Linked DNA regions of Lytechinus pictus. The protein of the gene in region 1 binds, or shares a complex with, the protein of each later gene. Links are inferred from orthologs where the notes say so. Each region holds a gene or a part of one and is shown in the gene's direction. Other genes may lie near its edges.

Evidence for each region.
Region 2: protein SEC13 homolog (region 1) and GATOR2 complex protein WDR24-like share a complex: the UniProt entries of both Drosophila melanogaster proteins name them as parts of the GATOR complex. The link is inferred for Lytechinus pictus from reciprocal best matches to the Drosophila melanogaster genes Sec13 and Wdr24.
Region 3: protein SEC13 homolog (region 1) and GATOR1 complex protein NPRL2-like share a complex: the UniProt entries of both Drosophila melanogaster proteins name them as parts of the GATOR complex. The link is inferred for Lytechinus pictus from reciprocal best matches to the Drosophila melanogaster genes Sec13 and Nprl2.
Region 4: protein SEC13 homolog (region 1) and GATOR1 complex protein NPRL3-like share a complex: the UniProt entries of both Drosophila melanogaster proteins name them as parts of the GATOR complex. The link is inferred for Lytechinus pictus from reciprocal best matches to the Drosophila melanogaster genes Sec13 and Nprl3.

The regions. Positions count from the first base shown.
Region 1 is NC_087247.1:59,274,078-59,281,632, reverse strand, and holds the start of protein SEC13 homolog, read left to right. Parts: upstream 1-4,539; 5' UTR 4,540-4,821; coding exon 4,822-4,824; intron 4,825-6,866; coding exon 6,867-6,911; intron 6,912-7,555. UniProt on the Drosophila melanogaster protein: Functions as a component of the nuclear pore complex (NPC) and the COPII coat. At the endoplasmic reticulum, SEC13 is involved in the biogenesis of COPII-coated vesicles.
Region 2 is NC_087257.1:16,500,866-16,508,784, reverse strand, and holds the start of GATOR2 complex protein WDR24-like, read left to right. Parts: upstream 1-4,899; 5' UTR 4,900-4,983; coding exon 4,984-5,008; intron 5,009-7,497; coding exon 7,498-7,512; intron 7,513-7,919. UniProt on the Drosophila melanogaster protein: An essential component of the GATOR subcomplex GATOR2 which functions as an activator of the amino acid-sensing branch of the mTORC1 signaling pathway.
Region 3 is NC_087247.1:42,698,962-42,706,173, reverse strand, and holds the start of GATOR1 complex protein NPRL2-like, read left to right. Parts: upstream 1-4,208; 5' UTR 4,209-4,300; intron 4,301-4,522; exon of another isoform or gene 4,523-4,619; intron 4,620-4,793; exon of another isoform or gene 4,794-4,914; intron 4,915-5,234; exon of another isoform or gene 5,235-5,393; intron 5,394-6,900; 5' UTR 6,901-6,910; coding exon 6,911-6,994; intron 6,995-7,212. UniProt on the Drosophila melanogaster protein: An essential component of the GATOR subcomplex GATOR1 which functions as an inhibitor of the amino acid-sensing branch of the TORC1 signaling pathway.
Region 4 is NC_087254.1:36,127,427-36,134,443, forward strand, and holds the start of GATOR1 complex protein NPRL3-like, read left to right. Parts: upstream 1-3,999; 5' UTR 4,000-4,469; coding exon 4,470-4,587; exon of another isoform or gene 4,588-4,640; intron 4,641-6,114; coding exon 6,115-6,214; intron 6,215-7,017. UniProt on the Drosophila melanogaster protein: An essential component of the GATOR subcomplex GATOR1 which functions as an inhibitor of the amino acid-sensing branch of the TORC1 signaling pathway.

The DNA.
Region 1 (7,555 bases):
AGTGAAACTTTAAAATGTCATATTTTACATCCGATTTTGATGACATTTTCAGCATTATGCTTGTTGGATTTTTCTCTTTTTATTCAAATCAAGTTATTGTTGGGGTGGACTTGTCCTTTAAAGGACAAGTCCACCCCAACAAAAAGTTGATTTGAATAAAAAGAGAAAAATCCAACAAACATAACACTGAAAATTTCATCAAAATCGGATGTAAAATAAATAAGTTATGACATTTTGAAGTTTTGCTTGATTTCACAAAATAGTTATATGCACATCCTAGTTGGTATGCAAATGAGGAGACTGATGACGTCATCCACTCACTATTTCTTTTGTATTTTATTATATGAAATAGGGAATATTCTATATTTCTCCTCCTTGCCAAGTGAAACAACGATTAATTCCTCCCTGAACATGTGGAATGAGCATTGTTTAATACTATATGATTCAGTCAAGTTGGTCCTTTTTGTCAAATCTGTAAAAAATGAAATATTGTATAATTCAAACAATAAAAAACAAAAGAAATAGTGAGTGAGGGGCATCATCAACTTTCTCATTTGAGTTGTGCATATCACTGTTTTGTGAAAAATAAGCAAAACTTTAAAGTGTCATAACTTTCTTATTTTACATCCGATTTTGATGAAATTTTCTGCGTTTTGCTAGTTTGATTTTTCCCTATTTATTCAAATCAACTTTTTCCTGGGGTGGACTTGACCTTTAAAGCTGAAAAAAAGAAAGTGATAACAATTTACATGTTTGCTTCATTTCACCAGGGAGTTGTGATGTATTTCACAACAATTATTTGAACATCCTGGTCGGCAGTGGCGTAACTACGGGAGGGGGGGGGGGGCACGTGCCCCCCAATCGGCTGACACCCCCCCCCCCCCCAACAAAAAAAAAAAAAAACAGGGAAAAGGAGAAAAAGAGGGAGAAAGGAAGAGAAACGTACTGGGAAAGAAGAAATTATTGATGTTTTGTTAAATTATAATTATGTTATGTTATATTACATAAGAAATATCTTTTTCATAACTTTATGAAACATTAACTCAGGGCCTATGGCTATGTCTTCATTGTTCCTGGTGCTCGCATTGTCTGTTTAAGAATATATTTAATCCTGTTGTACTAAAACCTCCCGTTTTCAAGTCAATATACACCAAATATATTTTTTCGCACTTCGAGATATTGTTTTATGCACAATAGTATGCTTCTTTTTCATGACTACTTAAAGCGATTGCCTAATTTTAAGGTCTTGATATAAAACATTTCCTGTCCGTGCTTACGTTCGCAATTAGTGGATTGGTGAGGTATAACTGCCCTCCATGAGTTCCTATAGAATCAGTACTTAAAATATCCCTTTTTCTGATCTGAATGTAAAAAAATTTCAGCTCGCTCTTCGTATAATGATTACACAAATTTGATTATAATGTCCATTTTTAGGTCTGAATATCCAAAGTTTTCAGTTCGGGCTTCGCGCTCGCAATATTTGATTAGTGAGATGCGTATAATGATGATTACAATTACTACAAGCATGACAAGTGCTTAATGCGTTTAGATGCAATACTAAAAAAATCAGCAAGAGCTTGGCAATCGCATTAGATGACTATGGTGAGATATGTATACTCTTAATGGATTCCTAAAATATAGTCCTTAAAATCTCCGTGTCTGAGGTCAATATATACAAAAATTTCAGCTCGCGCTTCGCGCTCGCATTGTTTAGTGAGACAGGTACGTATAATGATTACAAAAATTTTTGAGTCCCTTTTTAGGTCTGAATATCCAACATTTTCAGCTCGCGCTTCGCGCTCGCATTATTTGATCAGTTAGATACATATACGAAGCGCGCTCACTAAGTGGCTCAGAATTTTTGCTGGTGCCCCCCCCCCCCCCCCCCCCCCATGCCGTGACCCACAGTACGCCACTGCTGGTCGGTATGCAAATGAGGGGACTGACGACATCATTTTTTTTTGGTATTTTATATATTGAATATTGATGTTTCAAATTTCTCCTCATCGTCACGTGAAGCAAAATTTTCTCTTCTAAACATGTGGCATTGCCATGGTACTAACATTTAATATGTTCAGTCAAGTTGGTCTTTTATGTCAAATCTGTAAACATTGAAATATCGTTAAAACTACTTTTTAATGAAAGAAGAAGAAAGAAAAAGTATAAAATGAGGGACATCATTGTCTTTCTCATTTTACATGCCATTTTAAGTTGTGAATATAAAGTCTTCACTGTTTTTTTTTAAGTATTTGAATTTAATTTTACTATTTATAACCTGCACACAGTTTTCTGTTGCCAACAGCCCTGGTTGTAATGACAGATTGGAATTAAAGATGTAATAATATTTAACTAGAAAAAAGAAAAGTGATTAAGGAGTAATGAGATAGAATCAAATAAATGTGGAGAATAGGGAAGAAAAATGAGAGCCAAAGAGAAATGGACTTCGTGCAAATTATATGAAATCTTAAAGGTCAAGTCCACCCTATAATTTTTTTATTTGAATAAATAGAGGAAAATCAAACTAGCTAGGCTGAAAATTTCATCAAAATCGGACGTAAAATAAGAAATGTATGATATTTTAAAGTTTCGCTTATTTTTCACAAAACAGTGATGTGACATGCACACCTGGGATGCAAACGAGACAGTTTATAACCCTAACTCACTATTTCATTTGTTTGTTATTGTTTAAATTGTGCAATAAGGACCAAGTTAACTGAACCATAGTAATAAAAAAGCTGATTCAACATGTTCAGGGAGGAATTGGCCGTTGTTTCATTTGACATGAGGAGAAAATTAGAATATTTCACATAATCAAATGCAAAAAAAGTGGATAGTCTCCTCATTTGCAAATCGGACCAGGATGTGGAAAACTGTATGTGAAATTAACAGAAACTTTAAAATGTGATTAAACTTTCTTATTTAACATTCGATTTTGAGGACATTTTCAGTGTTATAAAATGTTGGATTTCCTTTTTTTATTCAAATCAACTTCTTTGTTGGGTGAACTTGTCCTTGACCTATCATTCTGAGTTCTATGAATTTGTATTCTGTACCATTGTTTGTGTTTGATATGGTTTGAAATAAATACTATACTATACTACTACTATACTGATCCTTAGTTATATTCATAATCTATTATAGGGCTAATAAAATACACGAAGGAAGTTCCAACCTATATAAAGTGAAAAAATGACCCAACAGAAAGATATAAAGAGACTGTTTGCATGGTATTGGAACAAACTATAATGGGCCAATACAAGAAATAGACATTTCTATAGCTTACGTGTACTTCCCTGCTTTGTTCTAGCAGGGATATGTGACCATTTCCTATGGTATTATACCAAGGAGATATAGAGTGATATCTCCTTGATTATACAGTAGGCCCTGTAATGACCATTTCATTTCTGCATTTGGATGTAGACCACAAGATCCCTGGAGGGATTTCTGGGCATGGGACATTGTTTATGTTGGATTAACTACTGGCTAAATCTTATCTGAGTTATCAATTATCTTCTCACTGGCCACTGGTAGCAGTTCCCCTGGGAGGCTGATTGACAATGTTTACTAGCCAATGGAAAGTGACTCTGAAAGGAGGAGGTGGGGCTTGATTTGGAGCGTGAGAATTGATTTTTGGAAGATTATGCAGACCCTGTATTGGAACAGCAAGTTTTGTATGTGCTAGTCTTTGCGTGGAGGCACACTTATTGATCAAAGTTCCAATCAGGGTCTGTGCCTGCAGACTAGGTATGGGAGGGGGCGCTTCCTTCTTTGCCTGTCTCTCTTTTAGTCAATGCAAATCATTTTTTTTTCTTTCTTATTACTTCTTGATTACATAATTATATTCTCTCTCTCTGTCTGTCTTACGGTTCAAAAGTAATATAACCCAAGAAAAAATATCTTAGGCTTACTGAGATAATTAGAATTGTAACTTATATCTATAAAAAAATATATATAAAAAAAAAAAAAAGGAAGAAGGAGACTGAATCACAAATCTAGTATTAATGCAGATAAGTGATGCTACACTGCAGGGGCCGCGGAAGCGGGGGGGGGGGGGGGCCACTTTTTTCTAAGACCGTGTACAAAAACGTAAAAATGACCATAGGATTGTGATTTTTGTATGGTCGGCCCCCCCCCCCCCCCCCCACTTTGAAAACCGTTCTGTGGCCCCTGCACTGAGAATCTAACTTGTTGAAATCTCTATGTACCTTGGTCACATTTGTTCTACGGCGGCCGTACGGCGAGTCGAAAACAGTCGTTGTATTCATTTTTATTAAACCACCTATATGTAGCTCGTACCAAAAAAAATGTTAAAACGGCTGTTTTCGACTCGCGCCGTACGGCCGCCGTGGAACAAATGTGACCAAGGTATTATTCATCATTTTTTTTGCATGTACTAGAATGTTGGTGTGTTGATCCTTATGATTTGATTCATATGATTAGAATAAATATAGAAAGAAATATAATGTATATAAATTTAAAATAAAAAGATAAATGAAAGAAAAAAAAATTAAGAAAATGCTTATCCTACTTGACATACAGTGTGTGGCAAAATAGTAAATCATGACTTATTGCCAAATAAAAACAAGTAATCATATGGAATGGAATGGATGGAACACTGCACTGATCTGAATACAAGCAAGCAGGATCAGTGAAAACCGGTACCACCAACCTTACCTATCACCAACCCGGCCCTACTCGGTTCCGGGTACGGTATACGGTCCCATTTTGCATGCAAATTGCCTATTTGATAGAAGAAGTCAAGCAGCTTTCCGCCACGTCGCTTTAGCTTTTCATGAATTAATTGTAAAAGTTCTGGGCAAGATGGTAAGAAAATTATTTATTCATATATTACATTTTAAATTGATGCATTTCAGTTCTAATGAAATACTTTGATATCAAGATTTTCAACGTTTTAAACCCAAAATAGCTCTTTCAATGAATAATTGTTCTGTGCTCAGTCCCGTATGTGTCAAAAGGTGTGGTGTTTTATCCTATGAAAGGGGGGGGGGGGGGCATGTCTGCGCCACTCATCATACGAACTAGACAGCTGGCAGCAATCTGTTTCGAGTATTTTTTTAACATTTTAATATTTTTAAAAACTTCCTTGTACACAGACGGCTCGCTATCGTGCAGCCACCATTATCAAAATCCCCCTGACGCGGCTCATCGATTTTTGTCTTTAAGTTTAGGCCTAGGCCTAGGCCTATTTCAAAAAAAAATTATAGCCTTTTATAGGGGGCCTAAAACGAAATGTACCAAAATAAAGATTATTATTTCGTTTCGGCCTGAAATGCACCAAAACGGAGAAAAATAACTTAAAAGGGGAAAAAACAGTGACTTACTTCGGCTGTTGCGCAACTTCACTTTCCTGTTTTATCTGAACTTATTTACACATAGGCCTATGGCCATTGTCCCTGTACAGATTGAGCTAGAACTTTGGTCTCTGTATTTGGTGAGTGGAGCCAACAGAGTTCAGCGGAACAACCAACATAACATTTCATCCAGTGCTCAACTCGCACCAATTGCTTAGTTTAAGAACTCATATATTCCACGCACCATCAAGGACTGGAATTCTCTACCCCCCGACATCCAATCAATCTCACTCTCAGTCTCCGATAACTTCAGAACACAGGCAACTATATACTTTCGCAACAAAGACTTAAGCAACAAGGACTAATAAGAAATGAAGTGTGCACTCCCAATTCCTCCTCGGGTGGTTCCTAATAGTAATAAGGATGTTGAGGAGTATAATCAAGAAGAAGACCGAAGCTTTAGTTTTGGTCTACACACGAACAAGGTTATATAGCCAATATAACCTTGTTCTCGGCAGCATACTGTAGCATGGACAAAAAAATCAACTATTTTCCTCCCCATCCCTCGCCCCAAGTATCACAACCTGATCGAACTAGATCTGTGAATACTTCTAAGATTAGTCACTAAGTCAGTGATAAAAATTAGGCCTGGGATGAATGTCATTTTTACCATTCGATTATTTCCTGAAAAAACAATCAAATTATTTGATTGTTCATCGGAAATCACATCTTTTAAGTCACAATAGTTCACCTACTTTATGGTGACCTCCCGAATGAAGAAATCTCCATCAAAGTCACATGTTTATCATAAATGAAAGTAGGCCCTCTTCCCCCTTCTCCATGATTTTCAAAAGAAACTACATGAAATGAGATTAAATCTTTCAGTTTATTGTTCCAATGAAAATCTTTCCTAAATCAATGCTGGTACCCTGGTATTAGGTTGCATTGTTTTGAAACATGAAATGAATTCTCTGGCTCCCTCTCCCCTATCTTTCTCTCTCTCCCTCACACACACACAGATGGGGAGGGGTCAATTTATTTCTGAAGTCATGACCTTTCCTGATAAGGGAACGCATGTGGCTTCTTTGTTTCCCAAAAAGTTTCATTGGCTAATAGAAGGTCCAATCAGCTCAAGTGAGCTGGTTGTGTGTTTACTTTCTGTTTTGAGCACGCAGACAATGACTTGTATTGTGTATCGAGGGCAAGGCCGGGTTGGATTAACATTTTCGGAGCTCTTTCAGGTCGGAGTTTAACTGTGAATGTGATACAATCATTGATCAGTTTTGACAAATTACCTTGGTAACATCATTTTTAAACCTGTATCAAGTATTCAAAAACCATTGTCATCATAGTTATCCTGTCATTTTTTTATTATTACTTGGGTATTTGAGTTATCCCAACGTCATAATCGGGATCTGCCAAACATTCGGTCAGTGTAAAATTTGCTAATCGATTGGCGATCGGTGGCAAGCCATTCGATCAATCGATGTTTACTCCCAGGCCTAATAAAAATTAAATTAGATAAATTTTCACAATTTTTTGTTTCTCCTTCAGGTTTCTGTAATCAGTACTGTGGATACAGCTCATGAAGATATGATTGTAAGTCATTTTATATACCTTTAGTTTAAATTTTTTTGGATAATAGTATATTTGCACTCATGTATTTGCTTTGTAACTTGATCTTTATTGAAATGCCAAATAAGATAATAATGATAATAAGAAGAAAAGAATAAACATTAGATTAAGTAAGAGACCTGGGGCCTGTTTCTCAATACCGGGACAAGTTAGTTGTATTTCTTTCCAACAACCACAGAGTTAGCGCCAATATACAATGTACTAACACGTTTCACAAAAGGCTTATTGCGTGTATTACTAGAATCTCTCGATATCGATTCTATTGGCAGAAAGAGCTAATGAGACGTAGCCTTATGCCCAGTTGACACATGCAGGTATTGTGGTGCCCGCAATTCCCTGCATTGATGCGTGCCAGTGCGGGACACTTTATGGCACGACTTGGATATATCAGTTCACGCATTGTCCTGACACGTTCGTAACATGTTTGCGCGTTGTTATTATTATTATTTTGTTTTGGCGTCACCTGTGCCTGGGAGGCGAAAAGCGAACTGAATCACTATGACCCGCAGGTCTCTCCTCCCAATATAACTGATTGGGGGGGATGTATATAGAATGCGTATAGTTCGCGCATAGCTCACGCAGTGTTCGCGTACTGTCCCGACCATGTC
Region 2 (7,919 bases), on another chromosome or scaffold:
GAAACGTGCCCTTAGAATCATTTTTGGAGCAGCATATTCTTCATATGAGCATGCTTTACTCCAGTCAGAACTGATGTCTCTTGAAGATAGATGGATCAAACTCTTTGTCTTGCGTTTGCGAAGTCTATGCAAATCCCCACGTCTAAACTGTATCACCTTCTACCTCAAAATAGGACTTGTCAATATCAGACTAGAAGCTTGGCCGGAACAGTAGAGATGCGATGTCGAACTTCACGATATAGAAATAGCCCCTTGCCCTCGTTGATTCGGCACCTTAAAGAGAAATTCCAGTAGTTGCAGTAAACACTGTTTTCATGAGAAAGTCTGTAAAACAAGGCTTAATTGTCATTAATCATCGAGGATCTAGATCTGGTACAGTTACATAAACTGAACTTTGTGAAATCTTGAAATCTACGCTGAAAAATGTTCAGGCTGAAGATCCCCAACACAGATAAGCGCACGTGGGACAGTGTATAATTATTGCTTCGAATGTCGGGCCCGACGCTCTACCCGAATCCTGTGCTTATTTGCTGATTTCTCAGCAATTACACAATTTCTTCCAGAATCCTTTGGCACATATGTTTTATTTATACAAACAGACACTTTGGTGGTCATTTCATTGGATTCTGTACGAACTCATTTTGATATCGTTACCAAAACTAGCATTTACCTTTAACTCTAAAAGAATTGATTACAAGGAGTAGTTTTTTTTGTATATATCTTCCCCTATCGTTACATGTATAATAATATCAAACTACGAATGGCTGAGAATTAAAGAACTCATCATTCATTGGACTCTTAAAATGTGATATCATTAAAAGATTGTTTTTTATAAAATGCAGATTACATACTAATTCTAATGTTGAGTTCTCTTTATGTTGGCGAACTCAAGTTTCATTTCATTTCATTTTACTTTGTTAATCAAAATATTTTTCTTTCATATATGAGCAATTATTCACTGATATCTAGTCGTAAACTTAATATTTGAATTGAAGTCATAAAAATTGCCAAAATATGTATTATTGCAGCATATTAGATTATCGTTTTTTCCCAAAGTAATGTAATTCAGAACTTAATATGTAAATGTGTTTATTAATTTCTCTTTGTATATATGTTTAATCGTTTTATGATTTCTGTATACAGTGTATACTGAATCATTTATTTTTATTATTATTTATTTATTTTTATTTTTATTTGTTTATTTTTTATTCATTTGATATATATTGTTTATTTCTTAATTTAATCTTATTTTTTATTCATAAAATTTACTTATAAAAGGGGGCCTTCACCCTGCAAGCTCTGCTTTTTAGTTGGTCTCCTTCCCTTTCGATTTCATGGTATTATTGTATTATAAAAAATGATTTAAATGTTATATTTTGTAAATATGTATATTGAACTATCATTGTAAATGTAAAAAGATTGAAAGAGAAAATAAATGAATTGAATTGAATTGAATTGAATTGCTTCTTCGCCCTTTTCTCTCTGTTTCCCTTCCACCATCAATTTCTTCTCTTCTCTCTCTCTTTCTCTGCCTCTCTTCTCTCTTCCACTATTTCTATTCCTTTCTGCTTTCCAATTCATTTCCTCTATCCACTCATATTTACATGTATTTTGAATATTTTTCATTTTTTTTTATTGATCAGTGAGTATCAATTTAAATTTATTTATGATATACTTTGTTACATATGTCTATATTGAAATTTGTTCGTAGTACTATAAGTTTTTTTTACCTTGTTATTGATGATTTTGTTTGAAATGTAAATTTTCGCAATTCGGCTTTTGCCGCAAAGAAAGGATTTTTAATAAACCATTTTGAATTGAATTGAATTTACAGGTCAACATTAAAGTTTATGTGCAAGGCTCTTATGACAAGTGTTATTCCATCCCAGTCATTTCACAATGAAGTTTCAATACAATTATGTTGTGTGCCCTCGCAAATCACGATATTTCTGGTTATTTTCATGAGTGGGCGAGACACAATCACTGTTGCCATGTTTTATTCTAGAAATAGTAAGCTTAGTAATAGTATGAAAAAAATAATTGAAAAAAGCTGGCCCGATTTGTCCAGGTCAGAAAAGGGCAACACAATGTTTGTTCAGGCCTTAAGTGAATGCATTCATACAATCTACCATGTGTTTGGGAGTACATGTTTAAATAGCAAATCAGCGTTCCTATTGTAAGGTATCTACTGATTAAAAAATATCTGTAAAAAATTTAAGAATTCTGTAAACTTGTTTTTTTACGGAAATGTGTAAATTTACATGGGAATTTTGTAAAAGTACGGTAATTTTACGGAAAAGGAATCCGTAAAATTACGGATTAAAAAAAAAAATTCCGGCAGCAAAATTTCCGGACAAATTTTTTTTTCCCGTTAATTATTTATACGGAATCATGTTAATTCACGTAAATTTTCTGTAAAATTTCCGTAAATAATATCCATATTTTACATGGGAATTTGTAAAAGTACGGTAATTTTACGGAAAAGGAATCCGTAAAATTACGGACAAAAAAAAAAAATTCCGGCAGCAAAATTTCCGGACAAATTTTTTTTTTCCGTTAATTATTTATACGGAATCATGTTAATTCACGTAAATTTTCTGTAAAATTTCCGTACATAAAATCCGTATTTTTCATGGGAATCTGTAAAAGTACGGTAATTTTACGGAAAAGGAATCCGTAAAATTACGGACAAAAAAAAAAAATTCCGGCAGCAAAATTTCCGGACAAATTTTTTTTTTCCGTTAATTATTTATACGGAATCATGTTAATTTATGTAAATTTTCTGTAAAGTTTCCGTAAATAAAGTCCGTATTTTCAAGAATTGTAATTTACGGAATCTTGTATATTTTACAGAACTTTTCCATAAATTACCACTTTCTGTAAATTTACGGAAAAAAAAAAAAAGTCCGGAAATTCTGCTGCCGGACTTTTTCCGTTAAAAAACGGAAATTTTTCTAACAGTGTAATTTCTCTTTTACTTCCCTATAGCTTCCTTTGATTGTGTCGGGGGGGGGGGGGGTCATAGTGGTGCAGACCCTTGGTTTTCGCAATTCGCATAGTGCATAATGCAGAGTCTGAGTAGTGAGACTAGATTCACTATGTTCTGTGGCTGGCTCTACCAAGGAGTCCGACACAGACAGTCCCCGATTCAAATAATTATAGGCCTCTCTACGTGATTCTATTATTTTTTGTTCCATTATCAGAAAAGGAAAATAAATATCGATTAAAAAATTGTTTTTTTTCCTGATAACATTGCTCAAAATGCTAGACATCTCGATACTGGTTATGACCCCCTTAATAGGCAGAGGTTATGACCAAGGTTAACTTCTCTTCCCCTTTTTTCTTCTTCCCTTCAGTTTTCATTCTTTTGCTTCTCATTCTATATGTATTTTCCCTTCCCCTTTTCTTTCTTCTCCCATTCTCTTAATTTCTAATCTTTTAATTTTTTCTCAGTATCTTTCCCTTCAGTTCCTTTCTTTTCTCTCCCGATCCCTTTTCCTTCTCTCATTATTTGATCTCTCTTTTCTTTATTTCTTCCTCTCTCCCTTTACTTTCTTTTCCTTCCAGGGTCAGTGATCCTGGGGCCGGGGGGGGGGGGGGCACAGTGCCTCCACCTTTTGAAGCACTGAAAAAGTGCCCTTTGTTACGCAAGAAAATTGCCCCCTCACGAACGTGTACTGTGCCCCTTTTACCTGAGGAGGACCTTTGTTAGGTGTTACCAATTAAGTGCCACTTATTATAAGTGCCAATTCTTATAACCCCAAAATGCCCCCTCTCGAACGTGTTCTGTGCCCCTTTCACCTGATCGAGAAGGGCCCGTTTTATATGCATGTGAGCATGCATTTGCCCCCTTGCAAGTGCCGTTTCTCGAATCAGTGCCCCATGTACGAACTTGTTCTGCGCCCCTTTCACACCCGTTTTATGCTGTTAGAAAGTTCTCAAAGGTGCCCTTTCTCATCTAGTGCCCCTTTACCCAAGAAAACTGCCCCTCACGAACGTGCTCTGTGCCGCCGGGCTCTGTGCCCCTTTAATTGCCTTCTTATAGGTGCCCTTTCTCTTATCAGTGCCCTTTTTTAACAAAGAAAAGTGCCCTAGCTTTTAACAACGACAGTGCCCCGGGCTCATGCACGAACGTACTCTCTAGCTTTGGGAGCTGTGCCCCTTTCACCCATTTTATGTGTTATAACAATCGAGTGCCCTTTGAAAACAATAGGCCTATGTTCTCATTTTTAGACGTTATACTTTAGTGAAGGAAAAAAACATTTTGGTGGGTAGATAAGCAGTGGTTTACATATATTGGGGGCCTGCGGGCTTTAATTTACTGCAATGAAAAAAAAGGAAAAGGAAAGAGGAAAGGGTAATAAAAATATGATATTATTTTCTGAATATTATGTCAAAATATATCACAAAATGTGATATTCGTTTGAAAAATGTCAATTTTGTTTATCTCTCGCTGCCTAATTTACATGATACGATATAGGTCCTTTATTCTAGCCCCCTCAATTTTTTTTGGTCATTACACCACTGTAGATAAGTCGTATTTTCTATGTTTCAAGATAGTGCCCTTTTCGAAAGAAAAGGTGCATGCCCCTTAATTTTTCCTGTGCCCCCATTTCACTTCACTCCGCCGCCCCTTTCCTTCCCTTTTGTCTCTCTTAATTTTCCCATTCGTTTTCTTTTCTCGATCTAGTCTTTCATTTCTTTTCCTTCTTTTCATCTCTTTCTCCTTCTTAATTTTCCCTTCCTAATTCCTACTTTCGGCCTACTTTTCTCCCTTTCTTTCTCTTCTCGGCCTATATGATATATTTTTTCTCTCTTTTATTTTAATGAGTTTTCTTCAGTTACTCTTCATTTTCGCGATAGCGATACCTCGAAATCATCGAATAGTCTATTTTTCTCAGACTCGAGTAGCTTAGATCAAGTGCTGATATTTTAGCTGAACTTTTAGTTTATTATTTTAATAATCCGACTTAGTATACAAACATGTCACGAGGGACTCAAGAAAGAGGTAACGTCTTTTAGAAAGGATTTGAGTTTTGACTTTGATCGGGAAAATATTGATGATGATGATTGTGTGTGCTGGACCTAACGTTAGAGTCTTAGAAGTTAGATCTATTTTTAGTTGGGTTAAATTTCTAAGTTTAGTCCCATGCGTTGAAATACGTGTTAGTATAATGGGGTGTCCAAAATTCGCGGACATTTAAAAAATATTCATCTTCTTCTTTGGGTATACTGCCCAACGCCCCACAATGGGATTTAACCGGGCAGATTGCCTGTTCATCAGGCTAAATAAGTTAATTCGTTCACAATATATTCACAATTTATTCAAAATCAATAAAAATAGCTAGGCCTACCAAATAAGCTTGGTAAGCTGTAACCCAGAGAGCTCCCGCCCGCGTAGCGGGCGGGAGCCCAGAAGCTTACCGTGTATTTTACCATTGTCACCGGACTAGGGTGATTTATGGTCTAAATATTTCTCCAAATGAATTGTGAAAACGGAAAGTATACAATTACCACGATTATATGGATGAAGGTCTAACGAGTGGCAGATTCCTGACATCTGGGCACAGTCTGGAACCTCAAAAAAACGAAAAGTTCTCTCCTTCTACCCAGTCTCGATCGGCCATTTTGTTACGATTTTTAACAAAAATGGCCGATCGAGACGGGGTAGAAGGAGAGAACTTTTCGTTTTTTTGAGGTTCCAGACTGTGCCCAGATGTCAGGAATCTGCCACTCGTTAGACCTTCATCCATATAATCGTGGTAATTGTATACTTTCTGTTTTCACAATTCATTTGGAGAAATATTTAGACCATAAATCACCCTAGTCCGGTGACAATGGTAAAATACACGGTAAGCTTCTGGGCTCCCGCCCGCTGCGCGGGCGGGAGCTCTCTGGGTTAGGTAAGCTGTAGAGTGTAGACAGCTGGCAGCCGTCTGTTTCGAGGAGTTTTTTAACATTTTTTAAATTTAAATTTCTCCTCATACACAGACGGCTCGCTAGCGTGCAGCCACCATTAGGGGACTTGCAATGCAAAATCTCCCCGTCGGGGCTCTTCAATTTTTGTCTTTAATGAGTAAAAATTTTGAAAATTCACGCGACCAAAATGCAAATTAATATTCCCTCTTGGCATCAATTGCCAAAAAACCGAGAAAAATCAAGTTAAAAGGAACAAAAACAGTGACTTACCTCGGCTGTCGCGCAAATTCACTTCCCCGTTTTATCCGATCTTATGTACATAAACATATGGCCATTGAGTCCCCTGTACAGATCGCGCTAGAACTTCGGTCTCTGTATTTGGTGAGTGAAGCCAACGGAGTTCAGCTGAACAACCAACATAACAGAGACCGAAGCTTTTGGTCTAGGTAAGCTGTAATTATAACTATAAGCAATTTTTTATCGAATAATGTACATACACTTGCACGCTGCACTTCACCAGTACGACAATACACCAGACGGTGGACTGTACTACTGTTTCCAGAAGAAGAAGAAATACAAATTGACGGCAAGACCATAACCTAAAATGATTGACGAAAATGTGAAGTAAAGTTAGAGTCTAGATTTCGCCGGTAATAGTCAAAATTTATTTCTATTCCGAATCCGATCGACGAATGCGCGCTGTGCAGGAAATACATTCTAAAAAAGTGTGACCTAACATCGTGGACCAAAGTTTTGAGGAGATTTAAACAAAAACTCGAGCTCAAAACTAAGGTGAGATATTTCAGATGGAAGTCAAAATAGAATCGGTCAGCATGGTCAGTTGATACCTGCTTGCAAAATGATGATTAAAAAGAAATTGATATCGTGATGGACTGATGCTTGTATAACTTGACAGAAGTTCAGATTTTTTCGGAAAGGTCACTAACGGTTACAAATTTTCCAATCTTTTGTCAATATTTTAATGAATTTATCCTAAGTTATGCTGAAGGGTAATTTTAAGTTGCTTTTCATGCATGCATGTTGATGATGTCAGATTTTAAAGATATTAAATAGTTTTTGAGATAATGATCGTCCGCAAAGTATGGACACGTGCAAAGTTGGACTCACTGCCATATTTGTAGTCTGTAGAGCAAAAGACCTGTCAATTTTTATTGCCAGCATGGCTTTGGCCTGGCATGCATGATGCAGCAAAGCTTGACAGCCAAGACAAGTTCTTGCAACTGCAACTAATACTGACTATCCTATCTGAACATGGAGAAGGCTCGCAGGGGTACCTGCCCCAGTTTTATTTTTTCTTGATGATTTTTAATTAATTTATTCTATGACAATTCATTCCGTTCAGGTATAGGCCTAACGTTAGACTTCAAATTAAAAGATCAGCAAAAAGGTGTTTTTCATCAATGACCTTAATCAACCGAAAAGTTGAGACTTGGAGTACCATATTTTAAGGACTAAATTTGTTAATACAACACAATAAGTTGTTTATGTAGATATACATTGTCTTTATTATTTTTTGTTTATACTTTTTAACATGTTTACTTCTATTTTTGTAAATAGGAAGAGCTTTTAAGGGTGAGTATGTAATTTTTGGTGGAGGTTTCGCTGGGTGTTTGCATATATATTCAAATGGCATGGTAACATAATAGGAGGCATGGCTAGGACTGATCATTTTCCAAGTTTATCTTTGCATTACTTAGAGTGTTGCCAATTTGATATAAGATCTTGATTGCTCTTTATAAGAAAAATGAAAAATAATCATACCTCAAGTTCAAGTTTATTTTTTCCATTTCTATTATCAACATACCTGACAACGGGGCCAGGCCACAATTTGTGTTTTGGCCAGATTGATTTATTAAACTGCAAATCAGAGGGAGGGGGGAGGAGAGAACAAAATCTACATAAACTAGACTCATTTTTAGTACAGCAGAACTGTGCTTTCATTCATTGCCAGAAACGTTTTTAAAAAATGACTTAATTTG
Region 3 (7,212 bases), about 17 Mb from region 1:
ACCGACACCTCACCATTTTCATTACCCCATGGGGCAGGTACAGTTACAAGACAGCCCCTCAGGGCTACATTACCTCAGGAGATGGATACACCAGGCGGTATGATGAAATCGTCTCGGATATCCAAAATAAGACGAAATGCGTCGACGGACGACGTCCTCCTGTGGGCTGACACGATGGAAGACAGTTTCTTCCAGGCTGTTGAATGGCTGTCCAGACATCTGCGGCCAAAAAAGGGATTACCCTCAATCCTAGGAAGTTCACGTTCTGTGCGGATATCGTCGAATTCGCTGGCTTTGAGATCACCCCTGACAGCGTTCGCACATGTGAGAAGTACTTACAAGCTATCCTTGACTAAAAAAATATTCCTCTGATTCTTGGAATATTTTCCCAAACTCTTAGAATACCGGTATTTCTGGTATTTTCTGAGCCATCCAATATGATATAGATATTTATAATGATAATAATAATCCGTTTTTTATATAGCGCTTAATACATCGGAACGACGTGTCTAAGCGCTTTACAGATATATTATTACCCCGGTCATCAGATTCAATCAGTCATTTATGCTATTTGGCCTGCGACCGATCGCATGCAATGTTTTGAAATCGGCCGTGAATAATACGTGTGAGGAATTATATACTGGCCCAAAATCACCAATTTTGAGGATAACCGGAGGATGGACACGGAGTGAAATGAGGGTGTAGAGTAAGAAATTAAGCTATTTTTTTTCTATAATTTTTACAATAAACCACTTTTTGATCCCACCTTTGTCACTCGGAATATCCGATCGAGTTCACGGTCCCAAAGTTCGGGTAGGTGGAGCGTAGTGTAGCAGTAGTGAAGTGGAGCCTGCACAAACTTTGCCCGAGGTAGGGGGGAGATAGAGGATTATGTATTATGCACACTGCATCATTGGTGTAATCGTTTGTTCTTTTATGTGCACAGGGATCATGTTCATTGTTAGCTGCCATAGCACCTGAAGCTTCATAGCCCAGAGCAACAAATAGACAAGGGGCCTGTTGCATGAAAGGGTCTTTCGTAGAACCGTTCTACGTAAGAACGAGTTATCGCTCAACTGTTTCACAAAGCCGATTTGGGCGATACCAAGAATGGTCCTTGGAAAGACACCTCCAGAGACCAGACATGTCCTACGTAGACATGATCTTCTTTGCACACCGCCCGCCACCGTCGGCATTGAGAGAAAATGCGTTTACGGCAAGCCACACTGACATATCACATTTTTTGGGGTGTCATTCGATTGCAATCTGATGCATTTTATCTGGGATGGCGCCAACTTATTTTTTTATATGGGGGCTAGTTGTCATCAATTTCAGGTTGTCTTTTTGCATGGCAAGACGACCAAAAACGGATGTCATTTTAACTTATCCAGGGTATGTCCGGGGGTAATGTAGGCCCAAATATTTTTTTTAACATGTTTTCTTTTATTATTCGTCTTATCCCCACCCCTTTTCCATTAAAAAAAAACTTGAAATATCGAAATGGGCTGCACTATCTCTCTGACCCCTCATGCTTTCTCATTTAGTCCATTATATAAACAACCAGGGGTGTGAGTGGTCACAAATAAAAAGATCTGAAAAAAGCTGAAGAGTGTTGAAAAAGTCTGAAATAGAAAGAGCTCCCATACTTTTTGTACAGAGGAAGGCCAAAAATAAGCTGAAATTAAGCTGAAAATCAAAACAAAAAAAATCTGAAATGAGATAAAAATCTGAACTCTCACACCCCTGTAAACAACATAAAAACAATTTAAAAAAATAAAATTATGTATGCTAAAAAACGTGTTTATAACGGTTCAGCAATAAAAAACACAATACAAAACTAAGATGTTAAACATGCTAAATCATTTATTTATTTTTATTTAATTTTCATTATAATTATTATTTTTTTGGCTGAGATTAATTTTAATCAATGAAAATTAATTGTTGGATTTGGGCTAGCATGAGATGTGAAACAGGAAACAAAACAAAAATTCTGCAGTAACAAAATAGCTAATTGAATTTAAGATACAGATTAGGCTCATATAGCTTAAGAATCCATCACAATCATTACAAATGAAGATGAATTCATTGTACCTATAAAAGAAAAGATTATGGAAAGTCCATACCTAGAGGCGCATATTAAATAGTAGGGTAAGCCCTATCGGCCCCTATGTCATAATGTAGTCTCTACTCCTTAACTTTGAAATGTTGAACATATATATTTTTCATATTCTTAAACCTTATATTCTTATATAAACTTCCATAAAGTGATCAACTTTAATATGACCAACGTTTATGATCGTTGTAATTTTTAGCATTATTTCTGTAAATAGCATTTTTTCCATTGCGGATTGATTCACACATTTTTCTATGTTTTAATTATTATTGCAAAGCACTACTTTATCCACTTGGACATGTTTGCAGCAATTTTCATATTTTCCTTGTCTTCGGTTACTCATCATGCAACTGATGAGGTATGTGTACTCTAAACACTCACATTTGTATTTCTTGCGTTATATCTGACAAATAAAATAAATAAATTAGATTTTTCACACGCAGCCTCTCACATTTCTTTTTTAGTCTCATACAATCAGACATGTTGATTTTGTTTAATCCATTCAAACCCTATTTTTATCTCAACAAATAACATTTAACGCATGATTTGCAAAATTATCATTATAACTAAGTATTCAATAAAAATTCAGAATGTTGAACTAATACAATGTCGAAATTACTTAGTTAAATCAATTTTTATGTTGGACAAGGGTCTATTTCGTTGCAATATCAATGAAAGGTGTCTCTAAAAGGACATCATGTTCTAAATAAGGGAAATAATGAAAATTTCGATTTTATCCAGTTTTGTTTGTGAATCTTTAAAGTTTTTGTATCTTTTTACCTCATAAAGTAAGCTCCATAGTATACATCAATTCTACAATCAGTAATAAATAAAACATTATTTGATCTCCTTTTATTGAAATTTATGATTTTATGAAAAGTTGTCATTCCGAAATGAAACTAAAAGGTTCAGGTGACGATGAAGACTAAATATTTTTTCCGATACTATCGATATCAAACGATGTCGCGGACTTGGAAGACTAAATTGCCTTCGTGAAACGGAAACCGCTGATTTGTCGCCAATCTTCCTATCTCGGAAGAATGGTCCTAGGACGTTCCTACGTATCGCTCATGTCGTACTCGTCATGCAACAGGCCCAAGGTTCTTATTAATGCATATGGTTGGAACTACCCCTTAACTCCCACCTAATCTTCTAAGCATCTGCGAAAATATTCATCAATTTTACCCAGTTTTCGTCTCATTTGTGCAGAAAATTGAGCAGATCAGATTCCCATATTTCGCTCGGCGACTCCGATTCAATCCTCGTATATATCGACAAAAAACGAATACGACGATTTTACATTTGCTCATTTGCACCCGTCTTTTGAAACCGACCACCCGCGATACACTAAGTTTACGGCCGATTCTTGTCGCGGTGGCGAAATATTTTTACTCTTCCAAATCATTTCTATGATCATGATGTCAACATGCTAAATGATCGTCTCACTACTTCCAGTGCGAGCTCCGGCACATGATTTGATGATTGACGACGGGTATTTGTTCTAAAGCCGTTTCCTATCGGATTTCTTGGTTTTTCAGCGGGGTTTGGGTTTGGTCAATACAATTTTGATTAATTCTACTAAATTTTTACTTTTTGTTGCTTCTTTTTTTCTCGTAAAATCGATTCATACCGTTTCTATGGACACTGCGCCTACCCTCCCGCGCGTATCGTTTGTAATACGCAATAATTTTAACGCGCGCAAGGTGGTCGGTTTCAAAAGAGGTGGTCGCGATATGTGGTATTGGTAGTCTCACCATACTGTGTACAGCAATATATTTGACCCCCCCCCCCCCCCCCGCCCCCGGGAAAGATGAAAGTTACAAGAAAATTTAAGCCTTATAAGGAAAGATACAAGAAATTCTCAGAATACAGATTTTTTGGCCTTATCCTGAAATAAGTCACCTCTCTACTCGTGTACGTGTGTGTGCTCGCAGCACAGAAGGGTGATATATTCAACTTTCTAACATTCAAGAGACCATTTTGTATCACCAATGCGTGTGATTTTTGATGCACGAAAAGAAGCGAGAAATAACACATTTCTGTGATAATTGTATCCAAAGCACACATTAGCTAAATCGCGGGCCGCCTGCTTGAAGCGCAGCCGTTCATATTCGCACTTCGATCTTCTCAGGATCAGGAGGAGGAGTGAGACTTTGGGTAGCCAAGTTGCTCATTTCAGAATTTACGGTAAATACGAACTTTTCATTCCACCTTAGCCTTAACCTTAGCATTAACTGTCTTACCTTAAAAATCTGGTTTATCCTACAATCAGCCGAGCTCGAGGGACATGCAGTTTGAAACTCTGTCCTAACATCATCCTTTCTTGCGCTATGCTGCTGCGCTGCATGACCGGCCGAACGCACGGGCACGCCCCCTGCCGCCCGGCCCGGCTGGCTTGGTGACGTGAACACTACCACCGGGCCAGGCTCCAGAGCTAGGCGCTAGCCGGCCAGCCAGCCATGGCATGGGCGCGGGCAGGGCATGCATCGTGATCTATGTCCTATGAGTATGACATAGAAAATTGCATGGGCACACATTGAATAGGAAGGGTTTCCTGGCTGGAATAGATGTGGATTCTTCTCATTACGTGAGAACAAACCGACATGCTATGCCATGCCCATGGCCATGCCATGGCCACATAAGCTGAATTGTCAATTCGAAATCCGTCTCTTTACTTTAGACTTTATCGAGTGGAGCCTACAGAGTCAGAGTTTACTTCAGTGCCCAGGGACAGGGTTCAGCGGCAATAAGTACAGAGACTGAAGTCACTGAAGCCCAAATCATCCGAGACTGTCGACTGGGTATTTTATATAAATTTAGATATCTACCAAATTGATGGCAAGATCAAATGTATAGTAAGACTAAGACTAAGAGTTCAAAATTGATTGAGGAAAATGTGAAATACTAGGTCAAGGCGTTTCGCTGTCTATCGCAGTCTCAATATGCAAGTCGAAGAGTGTGAGCAGTATACCCAGTTGTTGTGTGTCCGGACGATCAATTTTAGAAAGTCATTTGGAAAAAATTACAAGCGAAGTTTCATCAATTTTTAGTACAAAACGTTAGGAAATATTATAAAGAACAAAACAGAATATGATTACAAGTATTGAATTCATATTTTTAGTGTAATCCACAGACAAAAAAGAAGGCTTCAAAAAGATAAAGTGTCCGGACACCCGACCCCCCAGCCTACTGGAAATGGTTGTTAAAAAAGCATGACATTAATTTTGTATGCTTTGGAGGTCTATAGAAACAAAAGACAAGCACAGGACAACAAATTTTGGTTAGTAACACATTTTACTCATAGTACTTTTTATAGACTATATAGGCCTTGATAGATCTGGCTCTCGGGCCTAGTAGCCTAGATCTATCTGCTCTGAAAAAAAAAAAGAATTATCGGAAAGGTGACAAATTTCAAATTTACTCGTATTATGTCAATATTTTTGTAGGAATTAAAACTAAACACCTACTTGAGAATAAAAAAATCAGTTTTAAAACAGCATAACTCAGGAACTTAACAATAACAGCAAACAACATATCAGGAACAGAAGACAGAGAATAACTAAACAAAGAGACTGGATCTGTAGTGTTGTATCTGTGTCTGTTCATGTATTAAAATACTCTATTTATACCTTTGGCCTTCCTCGGCCCACATCAAAATTGTTGCTACAGTAACAACATTGTTTAAATCATTATAAAAAACTAACCAATGAAATTAAAGAAAATAGAAGAACCCAACTGAAATGTAGTAATCCAATTCATTGTATAAACCAATGTACAATAAGATGAAGGTGATAAAAGATGTCTTGGTGATTATGTAATAATGGCATTAGAAACTAAGGAGTCAGGTGGGGGATTGAATGAGTGGAACACCTGAATAGAGAAGGACAAAAGAGAATCGGAGGAAAAGAATCCAATGTGGAGATCGGAGGATGAATGAAAACTGAATATAATTAATATACAAATAATGAATGTTTATGAGTGCAATGGACAGAATACTTCATGAGGTGAAAGATGAAATGATCGCTGAGTTGAATGGATCATTCATTTCATCTTTAACCGAATGAAGTATTCTTTCCATTGCACGATTGAAAAAAAAAATCATTATTTGGTTTATATGAAACCTAAAAATTTACCTTTTTTCATATGAAATTTATGAATTTCGATGCAAGAGTTCGGTCTGCTGATTGTTACATCATTACAACATGTGCACTGGAAACACAAGTAGTACGTCCCTGCAGCCTGCAGTCTCTGTGCGCGCGTGTAATGGACAAAATCGTATGGATCCAAAATTGCATGGTTGATGACGTAATAGCAAAATGGGCTGAATGAATGATATCAAACAACCAATCAATTCACAAGGATCTATCTAGGTGTCATATAAACTCAAATAACCTAAGTTCAGACTGCAAGGGCAGTGCTGAAAAGAAATGCAAAAGAACACAAGTCTAGACAGAACAGAAATGAAGAAAACACAAGTTAAAGAAAATGAACAAAATAGGAAAATTACAAAATAACCATCCTACATTTTCATGAATAGGCCTACTTATTTCATCTAAAAGAATTGACGTTTCAAGGTATAACTTTAGGTTAGGGAGTCTATTTTTGTGTTAGTGTATGGTAGTGTCAGATTCACAAGCCTTAAATGTTTTTTTAGAAGTAGATACTTAGTAAATGAACATAGACGAGATATCACATATTACGTTTGGACACACTGTCATACTAACCTAAAATAGATGTGTCTGCGATAATGTAATAATTCCTTTCTTCTTTATTTTTTTCATTTACAGACTCAAAAGTATGGCAGCTTTACCTGCAGGTAAACTGAAATGCATCTTCTTCAGTGAATTTCACCCACAAGCTGGACCTAAAATCACGTATCAGGTAGATCTACTAAAAATTTTGATAAGATGTTCAAACTTTCAAGAAATTAGTAGAACTGGGCTATTTTTTTTAACTGTATGCTACTGCATTGTACACTCACCAAATGACAAACACAGTCAGGGAGTCCAGGGAGAAACATGACACTTTTCATCTTTCAGATATATAACCTTGTAGGCCTAACTCTTAATATTTGGACTGAACAAAATATCTTTGTTTGT
Region 4 (7,017 bases), on another chromosome or scaffold:
ATTGATGCAAGCACGATTCAAAATCTGTGATTTTCGAACCTAAAATATATTATGTTTTATTATTAAAAAAGGTATTTCTTTCATTTGGACAAAAAAATCTTATGGGGATTTTTTTTTTTTGGGGGGGGGGGCAAGAGAGCACAAAGCGCAAGCTAAAATTTTCAAATGCTTAAACTGAAAATGAGTCATTTTTAGGACTCTTGTCGTTTTCATATTTTTTTCTGCTTACAACCACTTTTATTAAACAGTTAATTAATCATTAATTATTAATACTTATCGATAATATTAATAATTATTAATTTTTAAATTATTTTTTGTTAATTATTATTTCTTGAAACCATATTGACACAAAAAAAAATACGTTGTTTATTTCCTTGAAACTGTAGAGAAATAAGATTCAATGTTGAACGATATATGATAAAAAAGAAGTAAAAACTTTTTCCCCTTTGTTTTGTCAATCTGACCCAAAACCAATATAAAATTTAGAAGAGAGATAGAGAGAAGAAGAAGTCCCACCACCAAGAATAAACTTAGACAAGGGGGGGGGGGGGGGGGAGGGAAAGGAAAAGATGGAGTAAATGTGATATTATTTTTTAAACAATCTATTGCAAAATTAGCTTTTCTTATAGAAAGAGGGGGACAAATTTTGTTCACTCGCTCGCTTCAATCGCTTTCTTCTTTTTTTTTGACAGAAATTTTGCTCTATATATGCCATGCTTGGCCCCTCATAGTTTCTGGCTCATCATGCCATTGACATAACCCATTTGGATATGACAAAATTGGAGACTGTGTTCAAGTTTACCAAATCTTTTCAGAATATCATTAAGACTTAAAACATTCTTGTTGGCCAAAGAAAATAATACAAGGAAAATTCATTCTGAGCAACGTGAATGCTTACGATCGGCACGGTCGAGGCCAAGTCCACTGCGCATGCGTACTCTCAATCCGAAGACGCAAGTCATGAATATTCATATGCTGCACGTACGTGCATAGCGCCAACTTAATGTGTTCCGCCATCTTGCTTGTTGGTTGCCGATAAAATGCGCATTTTCAGATTTTTTAACGCTCAGTTATTATCCATGACTGAAACATTGACCAATCAAAAACTAAGATTCTATAAGAAATATGAATATTCATATACGAAAGTAAAAACATAGATAATTCAGTGTTATGTGAAATTTAAACCCAATACTTCAAAATATGGTTAGTTTTATGTCTCTAAAATGACCCTTAAAACCAGAATTTTATTACTAAAAAATAAAGGTTTTCCCAAGTTGCCATGGTAACGCGGTCTGAGATAAAAAAGCTTAGCAAACACTTCATTTCAGTGATCGAGGATGTATTTGTTTACGGTATACGTCTACATAAATTATAACATTTTTTTCCAGACCATGGATGAACTTTCAAAAAGAGACATTTTAGGCAAGTTTTTACGATTTCCGGAAATTTTCTGACACAGGCACTTTGAAGAGGTAATTTTTACAGAATTAGAAGAAGACATCATGGATTTTCCTAATTATCACGACGGATATGCAACTTACTTGTAAACAAATCAAACAAAGTCTATGATACATTTTTGATAATGCAAAAAGAGACATTCAAGTCTCTGATTGAGAGCCGCAGATTGAACATTCGCACGGCGCAATGGTAGCGTTTTCGCCGAATTCGTCGGGGCGAAAACTCCAAGCGAGCCGTACCACTCACCAGTCCCGAACGCTGCGCTGTATGTTTGATGATTTATCTGGTGCCATTTCGTGCTTATAAATTAGTTTTTTCTACAATGCCACTATCTCATTAAAATTGTTTGTCATGATAACATTGGAAATATTATCGTTTAATGGCCCAAAGGATCGACTCTAATAAAAGATACTTTGAAATATTGTCAAAGAGTGATTAGTTAGGTGATGTTTATGGTCAGAATTTAGTCATGGCTTCGGGTGAACTTACGCGAACGCGGTCACTTGCTCACGGGGTGAGTCGGCCTGGCCCTTTGGTGGAAGGCCGTTAGGCAACGTGCAGTGCAGCTAGAGCAGAGTTGGGGAGTTATAGGTATAAAAATACTTTGAAATAAGTAATCTGCAAATATTTTTGTCTTATCCCTTTGGATTACTTAGATAAGAAATTCAAATTCTCAAAGTTTAAATCAAATTTTAGACAGTGACAACAAAGAGTGGTGCTGTATGGGGGGGGGGTCTTGCATGCCCCCAATTCACGAACAAGAAAAAAAAAGGAAAAGGTAAGAGAATCTTGCGAGATCGTTCAATTGGATTTTTGTAACCAAGAGTCAAAATTATGCTTATGTCGCTTGCTTGCAACTATATATTTTATAAATTTTGCCTGATACGCCATATCGTTTTACCCTCAATTATTTTCGCTTGTTACGGCTTACGCCACTGACTGATATAACATTATTTGGTTGCGGGATCAAAGCATCAGCTATAGCTAAACATTTATACTTTATGCCTGTTCAACTTCCAATACAGGTTTAGGCCTGTATTTATGAGATGTTAAGATCTATGGACGGTAGACAGCTGGCAGCCGTCTGTTTCGAGGAGTTTTTTAACCATTTTTAATTTTTAATTTCTCCTCGTACAATAGACAGCTGGCAGCCGTCTGTTTCGAGGAGTTTTTAAACATTTTTTATTTTTTAATTTCTCCTCGTACACATGTATTTGGTGAGTGGAGCCAACGTAGTTCAGCGGAACAACCAACATAACAGAGACCGAAGCTTTTGGTCTAGATATATGGGTGCCTTTATTATTTTCATTTTCAATTAAAACAATTATTAATTATGTATTAATTTAGTATTTACCTCGATGATACATTTTATTGTGTTAAATCGTACAATTTCTGTTATATTAAGCCCCTTATTAAGCCCTTTTAAAAACATGCTCAGTAGCAGACCCCCCCCATATATAAAGACAATAGAAGTGTATATAGAATTAATTGAACCCCCCCCCCCTATTGAGGACAAAATGAAAAAAAAAATACTCAAAATAATCGACCGCCCCCCCCCCCTTTGACGAGGCAGCTGTCGGTGGCCTGATGTCTTCATTGACTTTTTTTTGCTTGTAAAAATAATATTAAAGAAATAGGGGCTACTCTAAGTGTCCCCTGTGAAAATTGATCTGGATCTGCAAGTGCATGAGGCTGCGCCCTCTCCAACGTCATAGCTACCCCATATCTTTAGGTTCTAGCTCTCATATTTTTCAGCTCCCTGATTTTTTGGAAGAAAAAAAAACGAGGCGAAAGAAAAGAGTGAAATAAATGAAATACGATTAATCAAAATTTGAGTTGTTTTCTATACTTATCAGAGAAACTAAATTAAATTCTACAACCATGAAGAATAACAGCAATCTTGATAAATTCTGTTTTTTTTTCAAAATCAGAACCAATCAACCTTTTTCTGATTATTCTGTCACTTTCCATATTTTGGAGAAAAAAATAAAAGTGTTCATCGACGCCCTGTACTGCACGATGAAACTGTATCCCCACTCGGCCCTCGTAACCCCCCCCCCCTCTCTCTCTCTCTCTCCCTTCCCCCCCCCCCCCCACCACAATGCCCCTTGCTCATTTCTCTTATCTCACCTTGACCTTAATTAATTAATCTTAACTATTTGGCGGTACAGTCAAACGTGACTGGTCGCCATCATAGTTTCATCCCCAACAAACAAGGAACAAACAATAACAATTCTGTTTTTCCACCCAACATCATTCCTTTCAATACGCGTAAGGCTATACGTGGGCATGCACAAACAACGTGGGTTAACAAAAACTGACCCGCGTTTGGACTGAAATTGTGATTAAAATAAAAATGTTATAAATATGAAAAAAATATGTGTATAATGAAGGATATTTGATAAACGGAAAAACATCAATCGCTAATTCATAAAAATGCTGGAAAAGATTTGACAGTGGTTTTTAAGAACGGTAATCAAGGGGAATTAGTGTATGGGTGAATGGCGTTCGAGCTTTAGCCGAGCGTTAGCCGGTGAGGGCGCGGGCCAAATCTGGCAATATGGCGTCGTCCATTAAGCTGACGTTAGGCCAACGGCGACTGCACGTACGTGGCTGGTCCAGAACTCGGTGGGAAAAATAATTTCGCGCCCGGGCCTTGTTCTTTTCCAACACAAAAACACACATTTGGGACTATATTAGTATTTGTGTGAATCAAGAATATTAATGAAATGTTTTGTAACTGACAAAAACATTTTCATGAAATACTTATGAAAAAATGAAGAATGATGTGCAAGCCAGAAGAAATATCCTACCCTACGGCTACGGTATTGTACCTCGTCAAAAATTTGTGTGACTCGTAAGATCCGACCTGTTTTTCTCGCTTCGTATGCTGCCACATTTGTACCGCCTGCTGCATCATGTGTTTCTAGATCCTCGATCTTCCGAACATTATCGAAATTCAACGCGAGACAGTTTGGATCAAAACTGTGAGAAAAGCACACAACTGAAAAATGTCATCAAAAGTCACTCCTTTAAGTATAATATTGGTATCATCCGGATCAAAAGGTTACCGGTTGTTATTTAGATATCCATTTCAAGCAGAAAAACAGCAAGAATTAGTTAAACGAGGTAAGTGAAAAATAAATAACCAAGCTCCCATCTCACTGAGCTCAGTCCCACTCGTTGAAACCTGGGTCGGTTACTTACTCGATCGGTTAAATAAAAGACGGGGAGGGGGGGGGGGGGGGGGAGAAAATAATGAAGGAAGGAGAAAGAAAGAAACTTAGAATGAAAGAAAGAAAGGAAGGAAGGAAATAAATGAATAAAGAAAGAAAGGAAGGAAGGAAAGGAAAGGAAGGAAGAAAGAAAGACTAAAACTAAAAAAAAGAAACCTAAAATGAAAATTACTTGAAACTGAATGAAAGTTTAATAGTAATAATTACTAATACGGTACAGAAATTCCATAATTTCTGAAAAAGTAAGTTGCGGAGTAACTTTACAATCCAATGTCATAATGGATTATGAGAGCATGGATTACACACTAGTATTAGAACGAGGCATCATCATAGTCATACTTCAGCTCATGACATTGGATTCTAAAGGTAAGCCCAAAGTAGGTCATTGTTTGTTTGTGTGCCGCAAAATACAGAGACATAACAGGACCTTGCTCAGCTGTATGTCGCAAGCATGCACAAAGTATAGGTATACTCATCTTGTGTGTTAACTAATTAACATTGCTGCATGCAAGCAAAAATCCTTGAAAATTCATGAAATTCATAATGCAAGCCTATATCTATATGATCAGTATGCATTGTGTGTTGCACTGTGCTTGCTTTTTACAGCCACAAAGAATCCTCAACAAATGGGTTTCGAAAAATGATCAATAAATTTGGACGTTATCAAATGTTGAACCCCGGCCCCATCCCCCAAATAATGAGAAACGAATGTGAGGAAACTTGAAATAAGCTACATGTATCGAAATCTTTGAAAGAAAGAAAGAAAGAAAGGAAGGAAGGAAAGAAAGAAAGAAAGGAAGGAAGGAAAGAAAGAAAGAAAGTTCAAAAGAAAAAAATTATAATTTTTTTAACTGGAAGTGGTACGCTAGTGAACCGACCATTTTGTTTTCATGTGTAAGTAGATCGTATAATTTGTTATTGATATGAGGTTATAACTGATTGCATACTTTATGTACGCATACATTTGTTATATATATATATTTTTTATGTTGTTTATAAACTTTATATGGTGTACACTCATACCCTGAGAGGGGGTTGATAGAGTGAATTAAATATTATCTATCTTCTAAATCTTACACAATGTATCTATCTATCTTCTTAATCTTTGATGGATTTTCCTCAAACCTTCACCAATATTTTTTTCTGGTATTTTTACAACATGTTTTTCTTCAGGGCGAACTTCCCTTTTAAGTGCAAGCACCCTGTCACATCACCAGGGAGGTTGTGTCCAGGCTGCTGCCAGCGCCAGCTGACATTCCTAAAATTCCATTATGCCAAGTCCTCATGGTCAGATATTTTAGAAGTTTATTAACCCCTGTGTCCAAGCATGTTGAAATAAAGTTGACAACGTTGGACAGTTTTTAGCTTGTTTTCTCTTGATCTTGTGGATAAATGCTTGATTTGTTTATACACCCCCCAGATCTGTCAGATAATCCATTTGCACTTCAGACCCCCGAGGATGATCCGTATACTATCTCAACTAATCAGTCATCTACAAGACAGTCGTGCATTATATCTGGGTAGGTTTTTGTATTCTATTTTGGTTTGTTTCAGGTGGGGGCTTATTTTCTTACTTATGCTCATACAGTACATTTTTATCACATTCAATGGCAAATTTTGGGCGGCATTTTAGAGCTCAACAGTGCATTTTTACATTTAAGGGACAAATTGTGTGTTTTCTTATGTATTTACACAGCTATTAAATTGGGCAGGAGGGGGGGGGGGTGATAAGGTGCAAGATACTACCACGACGTTAACACATCAATTAGTGCTTGCTAAGTGTATGATTGAGCCATCTCCCCACCCCATATTATTCTTTCTTCATTTATTTTTATAACTTTAAAATCATTATTCTATCCAAGAACGATAAGGAACTGGAACAACCTACCCAGCTCAGCTATCAACACCAAAGGAATGTCCAGTTTCAAGGAGGCTGCTCTCCCTGCCATCAGAATGATGCAGCCCCCTATTGGATCCCATATGATTTAAAGTCAAAAGCTTGGTTTTTACTTGCACTCAGCATAGCATGTTTTACTGTACATATACAAAATTGCTATGTCTGTTCATCACCATTTCTGCACTTCATGACACTCCTTCCAGTGGCTCACTTTATTCATCATCCCAGTATATCTTCTGTATGAGCTGCCAAAGGGATTACTACATCAAGTATCAAGAGGGTATTTGCCTCCTTGCTCCTCACTGATGTAGAGCCTCCCACATAAATCAATCTTAAACAAATGTATGTGCATTTTTTCAAGAGTGTTCTTTATCCAGATTGTGAGAGATCCCTAATGAAAATAAGCTGAAATCAGCTAAGAAGTTA